Linked DNA regions of Lepisosteus oculatus. The protein of the gene in region 1 purifies or fractionates together with the protein of each later gene. This does not show direct contact. Links are inferred from orthologs where the notes say so. Each region holds a gene or a part of one and is shown on either strand. Other genes may lie near its edges.

Region 1 (7,569 bases):
TGTCTAGATCTTACTATTAGAGGAAATCACAATAATTCCAAATATCGCACTGTCGAGGCTTATTTTAGTGTAGTGAAAATGCCAGCAGCAGCAAAAAGCAGAACTATTTATCAGCTAATTTCAATTAAAAAAAGCTTAAAAAATAAAATCGTTACCTCACATTTAACACTGCCATATGGTGTTACAAGCACATGATACAACTTGTTTTAAGAAATGTATGCACTGATCATTGTATTGAATACAACAATATTTACCTACAGGAAAAACACAATATTTTACTTTTTATAACTTCTATCAAGAGTGCAAACTGCAGATGAGGAAACAAACAAGCAACCAACTGAACAGCCCCTTAGCCAATGGCTTATGAACTTACTTTTTCCCCTGTCTTTTTAATCCAACACTGTAGGTTTTCTTGCGCGACAAGAACTGTTTGAAAATAATTCTATACAAATGAATGTTCTGTAGAGCCAGGACCTTGCACAAGGATAGTGTAACCAGTGTCATTCACTTTGCTGTAATTATTGTGCACTATCACATCGGCACATCTATCACATTATGGTAATGAACCATAAAGTCACTTTGTGTGTCGAGTGGGTCACGAACACTCTAGTGAACTCTGGCAGTGTGAAGCAATACCCCTGATGCTAAGCTGAGGTTAATTAAAAAGGGACGCTGTTAAGCACTCCAGTCAACAGGTTTAATAAGAAGATTAAATTACAACTTCGTGTTGCTCTGGGAACTTGACTTTTCTATATTTTCCAATGGACGTAATATTTTATTTGCAATGCAATTTTCTTAGTAAGCAGCAAGGTTATCAATACAGGAAGCAAACACTTATCCTACCCACCATGAAATTATCACTGTTACTTAAACACGTCTAACAAGCACACATCCATCACAGTCCTATTAACAGTGATGCTCCCCCGACATCAAAATGACAAGTCTGTGAAGTGCTGGGTTTTCACAAAAGCAGCAACACCTCTCTCCCATCTGAGAACTGTCGTCATTTTAAAAACAGCCACTGCTTACTGCTGCAGAATGCAAACACATCAAATAATCAGGCCTTCAATATACCACCTCTTTTATCCCTCCCTCTTTCCAGAGACAGAACTAAGCACCCCGCTCTCTCGCCCATCAGCCACCACCTTGCGTGAGGTGACTCAGCTCTCTGTCTTCCAGCGTAGCGACTGTGTGCCTCTCTCAGTGCTCGCTGCAGGATTAAAACTCTAAAGCTGTACTGTGGAAATGAATAGCAACCTGCAGGCAGAGCTCATTCAGGGTCTGTATGACAGAACACAGTTTCACATGTGCAGAGCCCTGAACATCCCTAGCACTGTGTGACGGTACATGCCCACCAATCCAATATTCTGTAAACCCTAGTATAAGTAAATGTTCTCCACTAGCATGCGTGGTTGTATAGACCGGACCTGCCTGTGTTGGAGCCCACTCCATTTTATGCTAGATGTTGTCAGGCATGTACTTTCAGTATTAGTGGGGAAATGCTTTGGTTATTTAAATCCAAGTGCTGACACTTCTGGGTGCGAATCATTGTTCTTGCTTTTGTGTCTAGGCAGCTCCTACGATAATCTACCCACTTCCTCCAATACGAGACATTTGCAAAAGTGGTAAAAAGGTGGCTTTCTAAAACATAACCCCTTTTTGATGCTTCCTACTTTGAAACCTCTGCGATTGCTACTCCATAAACAGGCAGTAAGACTCAGATCCAGGCATGGCCAGAACAGTACTGTTTTTTTTCCGTTCTGCTGCTGACACACATGAGTAAAAACGATTCCCTCTCCACGGTTTTTGTGGGAGGACTGTAGGCGGTTTAGTTTTAGACATTTCAATTCCAACTCCTCCAAAATAATTAGCACACTGACCCCTGTAGAGCGTTTCGGTTGGGTTTAAGGCTGCTGGGACACATCTAGAGTCCATGGAACCTGGCAAAATGATTTATCTTAAATGTTTGGCTGATGTGGGGGCGTCACTGAAGATTTGTAACTGGCGATTTTAAAAGTGGCCTGGCCTTTATTATAGGTATTCATATACAGAGAGACACACAGGTCGGACAAAAGCTACATCCCAAGAAGTAAATCAATCAAACGAAATGAATTATACTGTAATTCAACCGTGTACTTGATAACTGTATTTTGTAGCTTTATCGTTCCAGCCAGTGCGAAGAGTTTACCTCCTTACTAACCGGAAAGCGACCACCTCTCAGGGCATTGAGAGGTTAAGAGTGATTCATTCGTGATCACTCACGTCCCCAGACTGTCAGACACTCAGTCCAGCGACTCAGCAAACGTCATTTGCAGCAGATACGCCAAATGCTTGTATTTTATAGCCAGGACGGCTGAAATACAAAAACAGGTTGCAGGTACGTGCGAGGTACGCTTTCACAACGCAGACGACCTGACCTCGAGTGAAAAGTCACCAGAAAAAAAATTCTCGTGAAATACCGACACAGGAGGTTTCAAGTTACACAGTTTTTGCTGTAACAAAACTCACGTCTGAATCAGGAGTTCCTCCTTGACCAACTGCATGTTCGTATAACAATATCGCTGTAAACCGTATTTGTCAATTAAGAGCACGTAATGTTAAAAGGCAAGGTAACGGAACAAGTCTGCTGTAAAAGGTGAATTTGGGAAGTAGATGACTTATTTCCAAATATATCGATACGGACGCACTGTTAATAAATCATTCGAGTCTCACAATCGTTCTCGTTTATTCGAGACAGCGCGACTAATGAGCGCGCCTCCAAACACGCACACATTGACATGCCAAGCAGTAAATGAATGCTGACTGGCAAGAACAAATACACAAATCCCGTGTTATTTTCGGAAAGCAGGAAATCAGTGCGGAGCGCCAGCCGCAGGCATGAGGAGACAGTTGGGGGAAATAGCTGCCCTCAGTCTGAATGTAGGACGAAAGCTAAACACGCCCGGGGTGCGTTGCATCACTCCTTACAGTTTTCTTACCAGTTCGTTTTGGATTTCTCGTCCACCACCTCTTTATAAGCTGCAGTGATGGCCGGGCCGTTTTTGCTCAGGTTGACAGACATGATCCCGTCACCGTGTTCCTCCTGGAGACCCTGTGCAACTCAAATTGGCTGCAGCCCGACTTTGACCGTCTGAGCCACCGCGGATGGTTATCGCAGTCCTGCTTTAAACACAGGAAGCGACGAGCCTCGCCGAAACACGTAAGCTCCAAACCGAAATGCAAGCGAGCGCCGCATGCAGCTTACGACTGCCCCCTACTGCTTGGAGGTGAAATTTCCGAAAGTTTTGAAAGGGTTTTTGTGCTGAAGCCCCGCCAGTTTTTGGGTGCGCTTTGTCCTGCAGTGTTCATGGACTGTGCAGTACCGGTACAGTCTGTATGTCCATTGCATTATTACATTTTTATTTTTATACCGATGAAGCAGTATTCAAAATTGTAGCCTAATCTCTCAGACCTTATAAAGTAGTTGGTCTACTTAGTACTAGTACATAATAATAATAATAATAATAATAATAATAAAATAATAATAATAATAATAATAATTATTATTATTATTATACTAATAATTATTATTATTATTATTTATATTATTATTATTATTATAATACCTTACAATTATATAGCACTTTTCAGGACACATGGGACACCAGTGTAACATCCCTATTCTTTTCAAGTAATGCCCTGGACATTTTAATGCCCACAGAGAGTCAGGACCTCAGTTTTATGTCACTATACTGGGGCATTAGGACCCACACAGAATGCAGGGTGAGCCCCCCCCTACTGGCCCCACTAACACCTCTTCCACAAGCAACCTTATCTTCCCTAGGAGTCTTCCATCCAGGTACTGACCACACTCCCACCTACTGAACGTCAGCAGATTGTCACTGGGAGTTGGAGGATGATATGGCTGCTGGCACAAGGAAGGGAGACTTCTAAGCAAAATCCAGTAGTGTTTTTGGTCCAGTAGGTAACAGCTTCTCCCCTGGACTAGAATTTCCAAACCAATACCCAATACTGTAAACAGAATTTCGGCATTGTAGGAGGTGCTGTACTTCGGATGAGAAGTTAAACCGAGGTTAGACCTCTAAACTACTTTGTCATTAAAAAACACAACTTCCTAAAAGTAATGGAAATAGTTAGTGACCTCTAAATGCAGGATGATTTTAGCCTTTATAGCCAACTATGCCATCTATCAATTATAAAAGGTGCTAGGATATTTTTCCCTCCTCAACGGGTTCTTTCTATCTCTCCCAGAACCACCAGTGTCCCCAGGGACCGGACAAGACATACATCCTTACATCATTTCCCTTTTCTATTTCCTTGTGATTACAGTTGTCTATTACGGCCTAGCCAAACAGAATACATCACATAAAAGGCATCTCCGAGGGACACAAGAACCCCACGGACCCCAGTTACCAAACTCCAGTGTGCCAGAGGAACAGTCCAGCAGTGCTGTTCTCTAAAACACAGCTCCAGTCGATGCCCTGCTGTGCCTCCTTTTCACCACAGAGCATGAACTCCACAGGTGTAGTCTCAGGTGCCCTCCTCAGTCCAGGCCGTCCTGAGCAATGGATGCCGGGGCCTTTCTCCACTGCTTTCTGTAGAGTCCCTGGTGTCCGAGTCTGCTCCTGGGTGCTGTGGTGCAAACTGCGTTTCTTCTAGAGTCTTCTGTCTGTCTGCTCCCGACTGGTGTTTTCCAAGCCCCCTGAACCAGGGCTCACGACAACAGAACAGTACAAACTCAAGGGCAAGGGCAGCCTGTTACTACCTCTGCTATCACTTCTAATAAAAAAGCAAAACACTCAACCAGGAATTCATATTATGAAAGCAAAATGGGTGCCAGGAGTAATCCTTGACTTCCAGCCATGGGTTTTACTCCTTAAACTCATCCAAGAAACAAACACAAAATCAGCAGGTTCATTTAAAAGTCGTTGGGCAAGTAATGAGCGTACCTATGAATAGATGAATGTCAAGATTTATGTACACTCCAGCAAGCCGATTAATATATGAGATAGGAAAATGTGGTGCCCCAGTACAATAACACTTGAAGAATAAACTCTATCAAAAGTTCCTTATTATTGGAAGATGTGAAATGTGTTTTTTTTTGTGAATATGCCACTGTTATAACTACAGCAGTACGTGACAAAATGCTTTCAGTATTTTCAGTTCTAATGAAGGCAAACATTTATTTATAAACCGGGTATGAGGATGTTTGTTTGTACAAAAAAAGTTATTTCCTGCAATGTAATTAAATCTAAATAATGACACATCCGTTTTTTCCAATGCTAAAAGCTACCTCTTCCGCTGAAATCAAAGCAATGGAGTCTAGAATGCCGTTTTATGCAATAACCCCAGAGGGCGGCATTGTACTGAGATATCTTTCTACACCCAACATAAATAGAACATATTTGATTTCTTCAAAACATTAAGGCCATGGTTTAAGAGGCAACATATTAATACAGGTTTTGGAGGATTTTAATATTTCAATGCTTTGTCATTAAGCTTGGATGGTGTTTTATACTTTACCAAAAAACTCTAGACTACTGTACAATGTTAGTACTATATTATTATTAGACTTTGGTTAGAGAATAGTGTAATAATTTAATTTATGAATCGTGATAAGAATACAGCAATTTCATGGATACATTTTTGAATGCAAACCCAAAAAAGCACTTTAACTTTGCCCTTTATTCAAACAGATTTGATCATGCCACAGTTTGATAAGTTTCTATCATCCAGCTGAAGAGCTTCCATCTTACTCCCACAATTCAGATTGCTTTTGCAACAGAATCCACTCCTTCTGCTTAACAACCTTGTTGCTGAATCTGTGGAACACACCAGGGAAATAAAATTCAAACCACTTATAAAACAAAAGGAGCTTTATTAATTTAGTGTTGGTACATCTGAATTTCTCTGTGCCAAATGGTATCTGAACATACTGGGAAGGAAGTGTTGGGGCGAAGGGGGTGGGGTGAGGGCTGGCCGTGCATTCAGAATCATTCACGATCGAAGTGAAAATAAGGTGATGCCTGTACACTTAAAACTGGGGCATCCAGGATTTCAAATGAGCAAAACACTGAGTAAAAAAGTTTGCATTAAGATTCACTTTTTATTAGGCTCATGCTGAAATGAAACCACGGATTCCCCTGCCTTGTAAAAAATTCTAAAGCCCTGATTGTGTTTTTACAGTATTTATATACAGGATACGATTATAGTTAAGGCTAAGATTTTGACAAAGGTGCCAGATAGACTATGAATAGTAATAAAATCCCTGAAATCTTGCAAATGGCTTTTCAAAACACTTTCTTCGTCAGCCCATTGTACAGAGCAAGCCACAAAACTGTTCTCCAGATGTAAAGACAATCTCTGAAAAAACAATCGGCAAGATATTGTTTCAGTGTTTGACCAAGAATCGCATCAAAAGCACACAGAGGAAAAGGTCATGACTGGAGACCACTATCAACTCACCCTACACTTGGAATATAATAAATAATGAATAAATTAATTAAATACAAAAAGCACAGATGTGCTAGGTATGCTCTCCAACCATGTCACTGCACAGCAACAATAATAAACAATTCTGCTCTGTGGTAACAAATTGAACACTACCTTCACGTAAATGCATTACATTCAAAAGTATTCCAGTAGAAATTGTAGCTGTAAAATATCCTGTGTTCTGCTTCCTTGTGATCAAAGATTATCGTTTTAGTTCCCTGCAAAGTTGCAGGGACATGTGAACTGGTAATAGACTTAAAAACAGTTTGGTGCCAAAATCGTAGCCTTAATTACACTAGAAACAGCTATGTGTGTTCTTGAGAAACAGAAAAGAAACAAAAGGCAGCCCTTTTTCAGAGTCTGAAAAGAACAGAAGCTGTTTGATATCTAGTTCTGGGTCAAGTGTGAACTGAGGCTAGTCTTGCTGTGAATGGCCCAGTCCAACCCCTGTAGCTGGCCTAAAAGTCCCAAACAGGTAAATACATGACACTGCGGAGATGCTGCCAAAAGAGCTACTTCATTAGCAGCTTTAACTAATCACTAGACCTATGCGTTTGGCAAACATTTGCCTGCCTTTACTCCGTTTCCTTAACCACATCTTTGTTAATCTCTTGATTGCTTTATAATTGTGGAAATTATGACAGTTTTCTAAACTATACAAAGATTCCTTTTTGACAGATGGACCAGTGCATAACTACAGTTAAGTCAATGGATTATATGATTGTAGCATTCAATCTGCAATGAAGAGACTGTTCTAGAAACTCATGCAGAGGAGAAAGGCTTTTAACATTTCACCTTGCTAACACCTCCAACCATTCACTTCAACCTCAGTGTATAGCCACTGAAGCAGAAGGTTCCCAACTGATTAAAAAGAGAGGAGTTGGGAACAGGCGTATATATTATTGTTTCAAGCATTGCTTTTTGAGCTGTAAACCCGAAAATATGCATGCCTGAAAGCAATTCTTCTAAAATGTTGTCGCTACCAAAGATGAACTTTCAAAAATGTGTTTGCTTAATGTTGTATACTATTAGGGCATTAGAATTTACATCTGGCTCTTAATACAATGAAACACTGAT
Region 2 (8,191 bases), on another chromosome or scaffold:
TTCCCAGGAGGTCTCCCATCCAGGTACTGGCCAGGCTCACACCCGCTGAGCTTCAGTGGGCTGCCAGCTGTGAGCTACAAGGCGATACAGCCCCTGGCTATATAGCTATCTTACGGCAAATTATTCTCGAACCCTTTAGAAATAGTGCATAGAATCCTTATAATATCCTAAAATCACCCAACTCTTTCTAATGCTATAGACGTGGACTTTGAGAGCCGTTACATTCATTATAACATTTGTAAGTGGACTGCATTAAAATATCTGGGTTTCCAAACGAGAGAATGTGGCACTGAAGGAAGAGGTCTGCATAATTTTGTCTGCTCTTTGGATTTCTGTGGTGAGATTCTGTGTATCTGAAATTTCGGAAATGCTGAATTGGAAATTGGAAAGCTGAATTTCCCCTCCGATCGTTGCCAGGAATCTCCTGATAAGAGCACGGATGGCATGACAAACCAGCCAACCCAAGACCACCCCAAGCCCTGACAGCGTCCGGTCAACTCCGTACCCTCACTTGAAAGAGTCCAGGTCATGGCTGGTCAAGGCTAGCAGCCCAGGATCGACCCTGTCGGGCTCGAATGAGACTTACAGGCTTGATCGCCTGCCAATAATGACCCCATAATGAGTCTTCTAACTCGCTGATTAATAGATTAATAGCCCACATCTGGCTGTCTTTAAAGAGAAGCTGAAACACGGTGAACAAGGCCATCGCTGGTATCCCCAGAGCACGTCTGCCAGGCAAGAAAAGGCACAGAGCCTCCCTGAATCTCTCTGCCGAATCACAACCGGTTTCAGGCCAGACAAACCTGCCCTGCTCAGCTCCACGTGATCCGAACATCTACAGCAATGCCAGAGGTCAGAGGTCAGAGGTCAGAGGTTGGGAGCCGCGGACTGAAAGCTGTGCCAGGGCTTCCCAGCGGTTTCCCCAAATGTCCTGAGCGAGCAAATACCCCCGCTAGACAATGCGTCTGTAGCTCCTGATTCACAAATACGTAGCGCCAACGATCAAGTCATAAAGCATCACTGGGTGCAGACAACAGTCTCGTCAACACACTTTATATTGTGCTGTTAACACAGCACTTGCCCTGCATGTAATACTCTAATGCACAATGTATATAGGTTTACACACTGCATTCATACACATGCAATGTACAGTGCACAAGGAGAGGTGCAGTTATTTAAAGGGCAAAGCACTTCATACTCCATTTAATATTGCATGTTAAGAAACAATGGAAATGTCCAGTAACAACCATTGCATTAGGGTTCAGAATAAATGTACCACAGTACTACTTCTGCGATCATGCAGACTGGAGTTTGGAGTCCCGGAACAGAATTCTCCTCCTCTGTTGCATGAATCCTTACAGAAAAAATCAGTTTGTTGTCCCATGTTTCCAGAAAAGCTTATCCGGTGCTTTTCCAGTGTGCTTTTCCACTTTCCCCAGTGGACAGCGATTTACCCATCTGTATGAATTTCCAAGGCCATACTCATGCCTAGAGGCCCCTCCAGCCAGAGACAAACTGGACTTCCGGGACGCCCACAGCTTTCCAGTTTGTGGGACTCTTAACGGGCTTTTCCATCCTCTCCCAACTTGCTGTGCCGGAGGAAAGTCCGTTTCCGATCAGGAATACATAATTAATGATGGACAGGCAGGAACTGACCTTGGGAGAGGATGAAATATTTATGTCGAGCTGCAAAGAAATGCCAGCGATTCCGCGGATCCATTTCTCAGCACGGCAAAAGACTCGTTTGACGAGCTCGAGAACAACTGGACAGCGCAATGGCCAACGAAGGGCGGGCAGATTTTTAATGCCTGGGAAAATAACGCGAGGGAATTCCGCTCTGCCGCCCGACCTGAAAATGACGGTTTCAGGTTTGGACAAGGCGATGCACACCCCTCTAAAACCGACTCACATAGGCTTCGGACAGTCCAACAGAGTCCCGCAGCCCATGTGACGAAAATAAAACCAAGTCACACACACGAACGGAGTTCGGGGGCGGGAGGTGTTGTCGCCTGCTCTAGGTAACGCCAAGTCGCCACCTGCGCCGAACACCGCAGCCCGGAGCGGTGGGCGCACACACACACAGCGCCCTGACCTCCAGCGCGGCTCAGGCCATGGGAGAAACCGACAGGACTGGCACCCAGGCAGCCCCCCCCCTCCCACCATGACCACCACTGACCCGTCGCGTCCAGAGCGGATACGCGCTCTTCAAAAATGAAGATTGCTCATGCAGACCAGCGGACACACCAGGCATGTATTTCACCAGGCAAGATGCACCACCTGTTTCATTTCATCCCGTGCCTTAGATTTCATCTCCGCGCCACCCCACCCCAAACACACAACACGATTCCGTATCACTGGATGCGGTACTGCAGAATTATTACCGTGTGCTAACAACATCCACCCTGCAGATACGTGCAATGCTAACACCGTTTCAAACAGTAGCCCCGAACCCCGACACCTGTGCTGGTGTCTTGTTTTCCGAACCCACTGGCCCAGGTGGATCCCCACGGAGCGACTCCCCTCTCATCCATCTCCGCCTAGCTGAGCTCCGAACCCTATCCCTGCCTCTCGCCCGTCTTTGCTCTCGTATTTACCTTTTTATCGATGCGGACAGTGAAGACATCCCGGTCTCGCAGCGGCTCACGGCTCAGTACAAGACCGTGGTTAAATTCCTGTACCGGCTGATTACGCTGGGCGGTTCGGTTCGAGTTCGACAGGCCGATCAGCTTTCCGCTGCGCGGATGCAGCTCCGCCATCTTCGCAGGGGCGGCCCGTTCGCGACGCCTCTTTACGACACCGAAACCAAGCGCGGCTCGCAACCCGCTTCGATTAGATGGGAAGACAGTTACGACAGTATCTCTCGTTTGACGGCAGAAGGTCAAAATGGAATTCTGTCACTTCACTTTACAGCAGAGTGTCAAAAAAATCAATTTAAAGCTCTGTGGCAGTGCGGGTGCATGTTTTTTTGCTATGTGCTTATATTACTAGGGGTCGCTTTATTCAGTTGCGAGGCTGTGGGCAAGAAAGAGCTATTGTATTTCATTCTGAAGCAAGAAAACAATCCGTTCATTTGCACTAATCGCCATAAATCACTGGGCTGCGATACCAGTAGTAAACAACAATAACAACGAAAACGAAAGTGTGAACGTTCCCTGCCTTGTAAAATTGTTATTCTTAAACATACAATTATTGACAGCAAGGGCAGATATAACTGACACAGGTTACTTACATTCTGGGAATACAGATATAAAAACGAACAAAGACTACACATTTTCAGAGCAGCAAAAACATGTATACAAGCATTATTAATATAATTATTTAAATAATCGAAACTGTTTTTACATTTTTGTTTCGGATGTATAGATAGATATGGCTTTGTGCGTTAGGTACTGTACTGTGCGGCGCTGTAATCAGAAGTAAATTTGTTGACAGCAGGTCTTTCCGTGAAGGGCGGGGCTGAAACGTAAGCCGCGCTGCAGAGTGTGACGTCGCAACCGCCGCTTCGCGTGATTATCACGTAATAGTTAAAGAAAAACTAACAGCACGTTAGTGAACTTTGCATTTTTAGGTGTGTGAAGAAGTGAAACAAGGATCTTTCAGAGCAGTGGGTCAGCCCGAATTAGGTAAAAGCTTTATGCTTGCGTAATGTGTTAAGGTGCATATGTTTATAAATTTGTGTTACAGGTGTGGAGAAGTGAGATTATTTTTTTTTCTGATGCACATGTTAATTCTAAATTACAATTATGTTGTGTTTAATTCTATGTTGCAGTGTCTGCCTTCAGTATTAACATCTGCATGATGCTTGAACAGGTGTGCAGTTAAATGCCTCCTTAAGTCGAAGAGTGTCCCCATCCCTCAAGCTCTTCTCTTTGGGGTGCAAACTAGGTTTTTGGGTTAAGACATGCCTACAGATTGGGAACCCCCGCCTCTATGCTGTGTCAAGAGCTGGATCGCTGTGGTGTGGTGGGGAGAGACTATGAGCCCAGATCAGATGATCTGGCATGATCAGATGACCTGGAGTGAGTTTTAGAAGAGTCATCCAGATCCATCTGGGCATTTTGGCAGCTAGTAGTTTATTTAATAATCCAGGGGTCATGTCCAGCCATTTCTCGAAACACCCCGATCAAAGGTCATCTTTGCTTCTTTCTCCTTCCTTTTTCCCCTCTTTTTTTAATGTTTGAACACAAATCCCAAGCAGGAAAAGAGTAGAGTAGTAGAGTCATTTTTTGCCATATGTACACATACATTGGAATTCTGAATCGCGCAGATCTCTCGGAACATACACAGGACAACAGGCAACACCACACGATGCAGACAGTACATCACAAACATAATAACAACAACAGGTACAAAAAATATGTCATAACAAGACAAATAAAACCACAAAAAAACATGGAGTGCTCAAAATAAAACCCAAACCCATCAAGCCTTTCCTGGCCCTCTGTTGTTTTGTGCTAGATGGACACAGAACCCGGGCGGCCGAAACCCTTGAAAGGGATTCTGAAGAAGGACCTCTGGGATGCCGACGCCCACCGAGACCCCGAGCGCCTGGTGCACAGCGCCGAGTGCCCGCTGAGAAGCCAGTCGTCCCCGGTGCCACTCACGGGCCTGGTGAAGCACAGCCTGGGCACCAGCTGCAGCCTGCCACTCAGGGGCATCCTGAAGAACAGCAGCTCCAGCGAGGAGGCGGGGAACGGCACTCCAAACCACAGGTGGCGCCAGCCCGCCCTCTGTGCCACACCAGGGGGGCCCGGGTTCGAATCCGCACACAGGACACATTTACTTCTTCACACTCCCCGTCTAGACCACCAGGTCTCAATGGCACCGTGAGACGCTGGGAGCATCCGGAAATGGGCATGCATTCCGCAGGGATCACCCCAATCCAGTCTCTTTTTCTCCAGCAGTATCACCTTCAGCTGAGGTTGCTATGAGGACACTGGAGTGTGAAACCTGCCATTCAGTTCCACTTGTCTCCAACAGAATTGAGATCTGGGGTATAGTCCTAGCCAGGGAACCTGATTTCATAGGATCCTCTGCTTCCTGCTCCTGATGTACAAAACCAGTGTTGTCGTGTCACTGAAAGAGTGTATTCAGTAACAAGTGTGTGGGCAGTTGTCACTGGTACCTGTGGAAACAATCAGCAGCAAACCTGGCTGTATACTTAAACCTACAGAACTACAAGAAAGTTCTGTGGTGCAATGCTAATTACAGTGGATCAATAGCAATGCAATCTAATCCTCATGCTGCAGTTACACAGCCTTTCTCGGCTTCTCCAGGAAGAGACAGAGGTGGGACGAGTGGAGCATCTTGGCCACGAGAGCTTATTTGCCCAGCAACGACATACAGAAGCTGGACCATGAGGAGCAAAGATCTCCCAGCATGTGAGTACATTGGAGGCTGTGCTTTGATACATTTACGTTGGTGTTTTCTCACTTTTACTATGGTTTTCAACAGGTCTGACAGTAAGATAAGATCAGATCACTTTATTGGCCATATGCGATTTCTTGCATTAGGAATTTGTCTTTTCCCATCAACCAGCCTGCTCTCCATGAGATACACAGACAGGGAGAGAAGCTTGGGGTCAGAGCGCAGGGTCAGCTATTTATATATACATAACACTGTAAATGGACACCAAAACATAGGCAGATTCTGCTGTTCTGTCCTGTTCATGTCTCTGACTCTGCAGAACCAGCGCTGTGATGTTGGAGGGTGCAGGCGGCAGCACATCTGGAATACAGCACACCTGCATCTGTCAGACCAAGAGGTAGACAGATTTTGAATTTGATTTGTATCCAATAACGGCTTTCCAAAGCAGTCCAGCTTCTGCTGCAAATGCTGTTGCGGATTTCATTTCCCCCGCGATTTACTTGAGCTAATCACTGGGAGAAATGCAGTCCCTTTGTCTGGTGGCATCATTGGTGGCTAGTTGAAAAGTAAGCTGTGACACTCTGCAGGGCTGTGGCCCCTCCAGGAGTCTAGTCGCTCACGTCTGCTGCTCCAGGGTGTCGGCTCTTTACACCCAGTGCAGGCCAGTGCCCACTGCAGGCGGGCGCTCTGATCGGTCGGTGTCTGTGCCCAGGAAGAAGAGCCAGAGCTGGGACGAGTGCAGTATCCTGGCCACTCAGCCGCCCAGCCTTATGAGGGTGGACAGTGCAGACTGTGCTGGGACCAGGTCAGCTTCTCTTGCGCTCCACCTGAATGCTCAACAAACAGCAAATCCATTCTCTATTGTCCAAGTGTATTGCCCTGCAGGGACTGACTGAGGAATGAGCCCTTCATACCTCTGTGTGCTTCTGTGTCCTGAACTCTGTGTTTTTGTGTGTCTTTGAGGTGTATCTCTCTGTCTCTCTGTGTGTCTCTGTGTGTCTGAATCTCTCTGTGAGTCTGTGTGTCTGAATCTCTCTGTGAGTCTGTGTGTCTGAATCTTTCTGTCAGTATCTGTGTGTCTGAATTATCTCTGTGAGTCTCTGTGTGTCTGAATCTCTCTGTGAGTCTGTGTGTCTGAATCTCTCTGTCAGTATCTGTGTGTCCGAATCTCTCTGTCAGTATCTGTGTGTCCGAATCTCTCTGTGACTCTCTGTGTGTCCGAATCTCTCTGTGAGTCTCTGTATGTCTGAATCTCTCTCTGAGTCTTTGTATGTCTGAATCTTTCTTTGAGTCACTGGAGCTTCTCACTTGGGGCCACGCAGCCTCATTAGCACAAATCTCCTTCAGGACAGTTACAATGGAGCAAAAATGCTTAAAATAATGAAAAACCCCTTTGCTGTTGAGTTGGAAAACTGGAACAGCTGGTCACACTGCAGCCCTGACCGAAACCCCCTGTGAAAATGTGCCTCAGCACAGTAACCAGTCAGCCTTGCCACTGGCTTTGCCCATTGTTTCTGACGCGCTGTACTGTGGTGTCCATGCAGCTCTGCCGAGACGGATGGCGCCATCGAGGGCACGTGGGAGGGCAGCGCCAATCCCGCAGCCCCCCAGACGGGGGGGGCTGCAGAAGGGGAGAGCAGGGAGGAGGGGTCCGGGGCTCCGGGGGCGTGTTTCGGTGAGCAGTCCCACTCCGCTCCGCCCAGCAGGAACACTGCTGCCCAAGAGGCACACTCATGCCATCCAGCTCCAGCTATCATTCCTCTTCGGAGGTTCTGCAATATTTTGCAATCAGCGATTATTTTTTATTTTATTAGCACTCTCCCAGCCTGGATATCCCATTCACTATTCTTCTTAACGCCCACTACAGGACCATTTCCAAACGGTCAACTTAGAGATCAAGTGGTTTCTTTCCCTGCCTGACGAACAAACTGAAGCTCAGAAACGTGCACCAGTGCTACTTTACACACAGAACACGGCGAGGCTGCTGCAGCTTTCTAGAACACATACATATATTTAAATACTTTAAAGCATAAATTTAAATAATTTAAAGGAAAAACACTGAGCAGTTCATACAACCCCTAGAATACAGCAGCAGCACAGCAGAATTTGCTTGTTGGTTTCTCTCTTGCACTGATCACACACAAATGAAATGGAAAAAAAAGAGCCCCTTGACATGTCTAGTACAACATGATCCCAGTATCAGGTGCCAGTGGGTCTGAGGGGTTAGAACACATCGGTCATTTGACCCACCAGATTGTCCATCTGGAAAACCAAACACAGTGCTTGATGGTGGATGATGGTTGCCTTTGGCGGAAACCTAATTGTCACATGCTGGGTCTGTAAATCCTGCTTCGCTGGGTTTGTCTGGGCGTGAGAGTTGACCCACGTGCCCCAGTTCCGCTGGCAGCGTGCAGACCAAGTGGCGAGACACCAGGTGCTGGAGGAGGCGTGGAGAGGTCATTAGAAAAGGCTGCTCTGTCGCTTGTGTGTACTGTGTGTGTCTCGCAGGAACCCCGAGCTTCGAGGAGCTGAGGAGGGCTTTCAGCGACGAGGGCAGGCACGTCAAGCTGGCCCGGGACCTCCTGCAGGAGGAGGAGGAGGATGAGATGGAGGAGCCGAAGGAAAGGAGCACTGTCCCCACCCTCTACTACTGCACCAACTGCAACTGCACTGCCCACAGCTGGGAGCTCCCTCGGGGCTCCCTGGACAAGCCCACAGGTGCATGGACTATTCCAGCAGCTCTATCACCCAGCAACTCTTACAGGGCAGCCCACTGGAGCTCAGCAGGTGTGAGCCTGGCCAGTACCTGGAGGGGAGACCTCCT

The links. The genes of interacting proteins can lie anywhere in the genome.
Region 2: the proteins of dbnlb (region 1) and neurl4 purify together in Homo sapiens (co-immunoprecipitation; 4 studies listed by BioGRID and IntAct, counting the BioPlex papers as one, with this or other methods). This does not show direct contact. The link is inferred for Lepisosteus oculatus from reciprocal best matches to the Homo sapiens genes DBNL and NEURL4.

What each region holds. Positions count from the first base shown.
Region 1 is NC_090697.1:71,793,687-71,801,255, reverse strand, and holds the start of dbnlb (drebrin-like protein B), read right to left. Parts: upstream 3,214-7,569; 5' UTR 3,062-3,213; coding exon 2,979-3,061; intron 1-2,978. UniProt on the Homo sapiens protein: Adapter protein that binds F-actin and DNM1, and thereby plays a role in receptor-mediated endocytosis.
Region 2 is NC_090698.1:7,785,659-7,793,849, forward strand, and holds the start of neurl4 (neuralized-like protein 4), read right to left. Parts: upstream 3,336-8,191; 5' UTR 2,757-3,335; coding exon 2,595-2,756; intron 1-2,594. Other genes in the region: uncharacterized protein, read left to right, coding at 4,459-4,712, 5,250-5,381, 5,687-5,764, 6,080-6,172, 6,912-7,042, 7,876-8,085. UniProt on the Homo sapiens protein: Promotes CCP110 ubiquitination and proteasome-dependent degradation. By counteracting accumulation of CP110, maintains normal centriolar homeostasis and preventing formation of ectopic microtubular organizing centers.